2 linked regions of the Xenopus tropicalis genome follow. The protein of the gene in region 1 interacts with the protein of each later gene in a biochemical or structural test. Links are inferred from orthologs where the notes say so. Each region holds a gene or a part of one and is shown in the gene's direction. Other genes may lie near its edges. The genes, in order: ccne1 and arih1.

Region 1 (4,598 bases):
AATCTGTAAAATGTAGTTTGTATACCCACATACCTTCCCCCGACTGCTAAACAACATATAATGCAGTGTATATAATACATAACAGATGCCCTTTCTAGATGGAATGAAAGGGAGAGGGTAACTGACAACAAGAACAATACTAAACTCCTGTAATGAAGCTGTCAGATAACAAAGGCACCTGGACATGCCACAGAATAACCTACAGAAAGAACCTCAGTTTAACTGAGCACACTAATAACATCACATGCGAGCATTATGTCGGACAGTGGACATCTAACAAACATGCATGACTTTAGAATGTCCTTATTAAAAGGCATCGCGATATTATTAGGGCAATAAATATAAGCGGCGTGTGGGATTCAGCAGAGGAATTGCGTAGAAGAGATATTCAAACACAGCTAGTCCGCTAAAGAAACCCATAACGTTTCAAAATAGAGGTTTTCTTACCAAAAGCCGGTCCCCCCAGTTCCCAGGAACCTCTTGTTTACATCCAGCTTCAGCAAACCACGTGGCTCTTCCGACTTCCGGATGCCCGCCCCTTAGTTCTTTCCACACGCCCCCAAACTTGCTTCTCCCCGCCCCCTCTTGCCGGTGTCTGCACTGCTTGTGTTTATAACCGGCCCGGGAGGTGGTGGGGAGGCCGGCTTTGGTCTGCATCTGTAACTTTTTACTTGGCCTCAGTTTGAGGGGAGACGAGGTCATTTCCAAGTGGCAGCCTGGGGGTGATGTTGGCGAAAGAGGGAAGCTAGCGCGCCTGCTGCAGTTTGAATGTGCCGCCGCTTGTCATATAAAGGCTGAACCCGCCAGCTCAGTGCGGCCATCCGGAGCCAGGAGCAGCTGCAGGCTCGGCGTGCACCCAGGCCCCCTCTCCCTGTTATCTCGCTGCACATTGTACAGACCCCCAAGCACAGCACAAAGTCGCCTTACAGCAACGAGCTGTATATTGCTAGTCCTATTTATTCCTTTTACCCAACAAGAACCTAATATATATCTATTTATGCACCTAACTTACGGCTAAGTTATTGCCAAAGTCTCCCCAATATCCTGCTATTCATCCCTCGCTGCTATATATTTATACTCTTGTCCCATACAGAACTTTTAGCCTTCGCCTCTTCCCATCTGCTTCTGTCCATCTTCGAGCATTTCGCCATTGGATCCAGTGTGTGGGTAAGTCTCTGACCTACTTACCGATGCACCTAAAGGCCCACAACGGACACGTCCATTTCACGCTTTTCCCGATTGCCCAACAAGATTCTGGGCAGGCAAAGTTTCAGGGGTTCAACTTTAAAGCAGCAGCCGGAGGGCTGCATGTTGGACATCCGTGCTTTACGGCTTTGCAAAAGTTCATAGCCTGTACAAAAGGGGTTAAATATTGTGTCTACGGAAGGTATTGTAATGAGGGATACTGTTGTGAGTGTATTAATCGACTATAATTGCTTCTTTTAAGACTTAGGGGGGGATGGAAGCACGTCTAGTCCCTTCCCCCCACTAAGTACAAGTTGTGCGGCCATCTTCTCAGCCTACTTTCACTTGGCTGTGACTGCTGCATGCACAAGATCTCGGGGTACGGGGTGACACTTTGTGGGTGCTGCTATACATTATCTACAGTAACAAGCAGGGAAGTCTCAGGCCTTGTTTTGCATCTCCACCCTCCCTTCCTCCACCTTCTTCCCGGCGCCAAAGCATTAGTGGGGGCAGGGGAACACATTACTAACATTTTCTCAATTAAATCCGGGTTTTGCCTTAAATTTAACCTTCACTTTCTTGAATTTCAGGGTAAGAAAGGTTAACCTTCATTCAAAAAAAGTCCTGAAATGCCCGTGATAAGGTAAGTGTACAAAGATGGCTAACCTACCAGCACATGTCAGAGAGGTGAAACTTTACATTCCCTGATATTATTATTTCTAATAATATTCTTTTTCTAGCAATCCTCCAGTTGAAAAAGGCACAAAGGGAGAGGAGAGGGCAAGCTGTTCTGTGCGCTCCAGAAAGAGAAAGGCAGATGTGGCTATTGTAAGTTCATACAAAGGGCCATGTGCAGTTTTGGACACTGTGTGTGTGACTAACTCTGCTCTGGCATTCTCAACTTGTTTCTTCTATTCCTTTTTAGTACTTGCAAGATCCAGATGAGACCTTGGATTGCTTGGAAATGACAAAGAAAAAACAATATCAAGACAGGGTAATTAACATAAGGGCCTTTACCACTTGCTGCTTTTCATATTATTCTCTCTCATAAATTTGTGTATCATCACTGTTGCTAACAAACTGATATTATTGCATAGGCCCCCTATTCAGTACTAATGAGGGAAGAAGTCATAGACATCTAGTTGTTTAGTACAACTGATAAAGATCAAGCTATGATTTCATCATTAAACTCTAGTTGGTGACTAAGTTGACTTATAATCTGTTTTATGTAAAAGCCATTTAAGAGTAAGATGCAGTAAAATCAAGCTTTTTGTTAATGTCACATTTAATACATACAGCCCTAAAGTCTAAACTTAGGCATTTATTAAATACACAATCAGCCCTAGAAGTTTCATAAGAGTTCAGGACATTTGAAGTCTTTTTTTTTTTTTTTTTTGCCAGGTTTTGGTTTCATACAGTTGCCTTGCTTTGCATAATAGATGTGCATGATTCTGCATTTTTTTTTTTTTTTTTATAAACTACATATTGCATTTTTTTTTTTTTTTAAACATAATTACAGCTTCTCGGTTTGTGGCTTTCACTACATAGGAAGAATTTAGAATTTGTCAGCTATTAAAGGGCATTAAATAATCTAAGGTGGTATCTTTCAATTTAAATGTATCTATAGTTTGTTTTTGTGTACCACTTCTTGGTAATTGTTGTTTAACCAAATAACCAGTGACTCTGATTTTTTAGCTTTGGAATACTTTTGTACTTTATTTGACAAATTTCATCTGAAAATGTAATTATATCCCAGTACATCAATAAAGAGTTATTTAAAAGACATGCATTACTGTTTATTTGTTGTGTTAATCATAATAGTCTGGTAGTTTTTCTGCCTTTATACACTTCTTGTTCTATCATTAGGGACCATGGAGCAATGAAATGATATGCAAAAGCCCCCACAAATTGATCCCTACACCTGAAAAAGAGGAACACGAACAAAACCCTACCAGCTACCCGCACTTTGCTTCTCTCCGGTTCAGTCCAGTCAGCGTTTCTCCTCTTCCACGTCTTGGGTACATGCCTTGTGTAACTTGACTGTTCCGTTGGTGGTGTTATAGCACAATTGAATCTGTAACACTTTACTTTTCAGACAGACATTTAGTACAAGGGCAGTTTGGCAATAGTAGTTGCGATCTACAATACAGTATAAGGAAGGACATTTACATGGCCCAGGTGTCTTTGCTAGTACTTATATTCACTATAAATAGTTTCCTGTGGCAGACATTTCTGTGATGCATTGATTCTGGTGTTGGTTTGCAGAATTATAAACTGTATTTTTACTACCCCTTATGAAACTAGAGCTAGCAAATATTTTGGGGCTGGTAGCATCAGTCGGCTATTGTTTATCCACGTACAACAGCTTTTTTTGTCAGAACCAAACCCATCCTTTGTCCCATAGCATTTACAGTTTTGGCTATTAGTGTCCCATAATAAGAATGCTGCAAGTTTTTCATTTAAAGAAATGACTGGCCTGTTCCTGTGTGATGCAAACAGCATTCATTACAGTGAATCTTATTACTGGAGAATAAAGAAGACCTTATCTATGTCACAGCAGGTATCAGACTTTTTCCAAGTAAAGATTCTGCATCATAGTTGCATGTAATATGACCTGGGGGCTTACTGTCCTTAGTCATCCAGTTGATACATGTGTTGGCCATTGGTTTTGTATTTTGAGAAATTGCCCTCTGATACGATTTGATCAGAACTGATCTCTGAAAACTAAAAGCCTGGCTGGCTGGCACCTGCTTGTTAAAGGCCAACAGCAGGAAGGGGTACGCTTTATCAAGCTTCTGTCAGTCAATATCATTTCTATAATGTTTATATGGAAGTTATTTTAAGCACTTGTAAACTTCCCTTAATGACTTGTGTGCTGTGAATACATTGTAAGGTGACTGTTTCTCATAAGAGACATGATAAAGGACCAGGAAAGGCCCTAAATGTATCTTAAAACCGTGCATATTCTTTCCATCAGTCTTGTGCACTTAGTCATTAATCTCACCAAAATGAGAAAAAAAAAATTACTTCTAAATTTATAATAATGGGGGTCTATTCATTTTAGGAATATTAACCTGGGATTTTGATCTCTTGAGACAAATCAGAATTTTTTTTCTGGTTTTAAATAAATTGCCTTTTATATTTAAAAAAAAAAAAATGGCAAGAAAAGTGGTTGGGGGGGGGGGGGGGGGGGGAGTTCATTGGCAATGGTCCAAGGATACAACTTTCTACATTATAACATGTTTTTTATGTCCTCTGCTTTTAATGACTGTTCTTAATCATACAATTCAGATGTTCTAGCTCTGTATTAAGTACAATCTTACTTTGCAGATGGGCGAATCAAGATGATGTCTGGAGAAACATGTTGAACAAAGACCGAACTTACCTGAGGGACAAGAATTTTTTTCAAAAAC
Region 2 (3,326 bases), on another chromosome or scaffold:
TACTACTTTTGACTAAACTAAACCATGTACATTTATTTTACTACACCTGTTTGTGGGATTTGTGCTTGACTGCCAAATAACCTTGTGGTTAGTCATCTATCTGCCTGAGAGATTGATAAATATCATAGAATGCCACTGCTTCAATGCCAGCAACATTTACACCACTCACTCCAGTGCTGTACAGTACAAGCCACTTGCTGTAGAGTACATGGTGGTATGTTAACTTTTAGAATGATGGAGAGAGAGTGCTATTGGTATTCGTTTTTTTTTTTATTTGTGTTTTTTCTAACATTTCCATTTTTGTTAAGCATCTTTCTAATTTGGAATTTCAGCAGCTATCTGATTGCTAGGGTCCAAATGATCTTAATAACCAGGGAATGGTTTAAATGAGATGCAGAAATATGAGTAGGAGAGGGTCTGAATAGAAAGATAAGCAATAAAAAGAAACAATAAAATGTTGCCTGCTGGGGTCAGTCACTCCCATTTAAAAGCTGGGAGTCAGAAAAAGAAGGCAAATAATTTAAAAACTATACAAAATAAATGAAAAAATTAAGACCAGTTGAAAAGCTACTTAAAATTGGCCATTCTGTAACATACTAAAAATTAACTTAAAGGCGAAGCACCCCACTTTGTAAATGCAAATATACAGATAAGAAAGGTTCTGTACAAATATAAACTAGATTTGGATATTGACTGTGGCATCCTGTTAAACTTTTTAAAAAGTACACATTTTACGTTTAAGGGCTCTGGCACACAGGGAGATAAGTCGCCCGTGACAAATCTCCCTGTTCGCGAGCGACTAATCTCCCCGAAATCCCATCCCACCGGCGAAAATGTAAATCGCCAGTGGGATGGCATACGGGGAGATTAGTCGCCCGCGAACAGGGAGATTTGTCGCGAGCGACTAATCTCCCCGTGTGCCAGAGCCCTAAGGACCCCATATACATTCCAACATATTTAGTGTATATCAACAGGTTTAATGCAAAGTTTATGATCATCTCAAGGTAATTTCTGGACATTATAAGCATTCCCATATCTTACATTGCTCTCTTACAGGTATAATTGTAACCGTTACAATGAGGATGATGCAAAGGCTGCTCGAGATGCTCAAGAGGTGAGTAGAGCTTCCATCTTCTAATGAAATGCTGCTCTTTTTTTTTTGGTAGAGATTGGCAGGCCCACTATACATGTAGAATACATACATCAGATATTTTGATGCATACCGTATATACTCGAGTATAAGCCAAAACCGAATATAAGCCGAGGTACCTAATTTTACCTAAGAAAACTGGAAAAACTTATTGACTCGAGTATAAGCCTAGGGTGGGAAATGCAGCCGCTACTGCTAAGTTTCAATAATCAAAATAAAAACCAGTAAATTACATAAATTGAGGCTTCAGTGGGGTATATGTTAGCTCTGTAAGTGGAGAAGAGGGTCAACAAAAACAATATGAGTACTACCCCATGCTCACTGCGCATTGGCAAACTGGCACCAGACCCAGTCCCGGAGGACACGTAAAGGGGAATAAGTATTGCGACTGGGAGTGGGCCAGGCACTGGAGGGTCTGGTTGCAGGTGGCCTAATTTGCAAACAAAGGACAGAGGGTGCTAGTCTGGAGGGACCCATGGCACCCAACTCGAGTATAATCGAGTATATACAGTACTTATATTCACATTTTACAGTTGCTTCTTGACAAAAACAATCTTTGTGCTATCTCCAAATGAATACAGTTGTATAAATTATATTATTGACTGCATGGCCTTGAAAGGGATAGTTTACCTTTAAGTTAAGTTGCTTACTTTTGAATTTGCCTTCATTTTGTCATTATTTTTTGTTTATAGTTTTTAATTATTTTTTTCTTTGAGTCTCTCCAGCTTTTAGCTGGGAGTTGCTGACCCTGGCAGTGAAAAGACTTGCAGTTTTGCTGCTTATATTTTTTGTTTAGGTCTTCTCCTGTTCATCTTCCAGTGTTTCAAAATACCGTCTGGTTGTTAGGGTAAATTGGACACCAGCAAACAACTGCTAAAATTCCAAAATTTAGAGCTGATGAAGAAAAAATATCATTAAAAATGTACAAAATATAAAAAAATGCAAATTCTCATATTAGTGTCTACATCATACTAAAAGTTAATTTAAAGGTTACTATTTATTTAAATAGAAAAACCTATATACTAACTGTAAATACTGGCTACTCTGGAGAGACAAAACATTTTTTTGGGTTATAGTTCAGCACAAATAATCAGTAAGTATACAGCTGCGGATTCCTGGGGTGTCTGTGAGCCACCCCAACAGTATATCATAAGATCAAAAGGCAAAAAGGAATCAGACAGTTCCAGGCAGCATTTGAAAACTGCAGTGAATTTAATGGCAGTGTCAGCACACTACATGTTTCAGGCAGAGCCCTTTCTCAAGTGTCTCTGGAGAGACCATTCTGAGTACTTTGCCTCTGTTTTTATCATCTGCTAGAGAAACTTTTTTGTTTTTAGATTTACATCAGTTGAGGGAGAACCCTATTCTGTTGTTCTGTTTATACTACAAAGAAAGAACTGAACTATTATTATTAGAGGAGAGAGAAAATTATCTTAAAAACTTTAAAGTATTTGCTTAACATGGATTCCATGGTTGATGGCTTGTCCATAATTTGGATATTTCTGAATATGGGTTTCTGGATAACATATCCTGTATTTGTTTATTCACTGTATAGAAAAAATAACTTGTGCCTTGTTGTGATACTCTTCAGCAAGTGCTTGGCATCTTTCTGTATTATCATTCATCATGGTTGGTTACTTGTTAACCCGTGTCTTTTACTTTCTATTGAAATAGAGATCCCGCGCAGCATTACAAAGATATCTTTTCTACTGCAACCGCTACATGAATCACATGCAAAGCCTGCGATTTGAGCACAAGTTGTATGCTCAAGTGAAGCAAAAGATGGAGGAGATGCAGCAACACAACATGTCATGGATCGAGGTTCAGTTCCTAAAAAAGGCAGTTGATGTGCTGTGCCAGTGTCGCTCCACACTAATGTACACATATGTCTTTGCCTTCTACCTCAAGAAGAACAACCAGTCTATTATATTTGAGGTAAGCTCATTGTGACTGCAAGAGGAATGAATAAGCTACATGTAAATTCATATTGGAAGTCTCTCTACCCATAGAAGGTCTCTACCTTATCAGCTAATGTTGCGTACACAAGAGCAGCGTGCCTTATTAGATGCATGTGACATGGAAGTGGTTATTTCCAGGAGTGCCTAGTAATCAGCATGCTGCGAAATATGCAACTTGTGCATTTAAAGGAGACATTTTATATAAAATTCATATTCAG

The links.
Region 2: of the proteins of ccne1 (region 1) and arih1, one has a biochemical effect on the other in vitro, tested with the Homo sapiens proteins (3 studies listed by BioGRID). The link is inferred for Xenopus tropicalis from reciprocal best matches to the Homo sapiens genes CCNE1 and ARIH1.

Annotation. Positions count from the first base shown.
Region 1 is NC_030680.2:71,333,168-71,337,765, reverse strand, and holds the start of ccne1 (G1/S-specific cyclin-E1), read left to right. Parts: upstream 1-1,511; 5' UTR 1,512-1,564; intron 1,565-1,775; 5' UTR 1,776-1,814; coding exon 1,815-1,828; intron 1,829-1,925; coding exon 1,926-2,013; intron 2,014-2,110; coding exon 2,111-2,179; intron 2,180-3,051; coding exon 3,052-3,203; intron 3,204-4,515; coding exon 4,516-4,598. Other genes in the region: uncharacterized protein LOC549154, read right to left, coding at 448-702. UniProt on the Homo sapiens protein: Essential for the control of the cell cycle at the G1/S (start) transition.
Region 2 is NC_030679.2:92,188,608-92,191,933, forward strand, and holds part of arih1 (E3 ubiquitin-protein ligase arih1), read left to right. Parts: intron 1-1,056; coding exon 1,057-1,114; intron 1,115-2,824; coding exon 2,825-3,085; intron 3,086-3,326. UniProt on the Homo sapiens protein: E3 ubiquitin-protein ligase, which catalyzes ubiquitination of target proteins together with ubiquitin-conjugating enzyme E2 UBE2L3.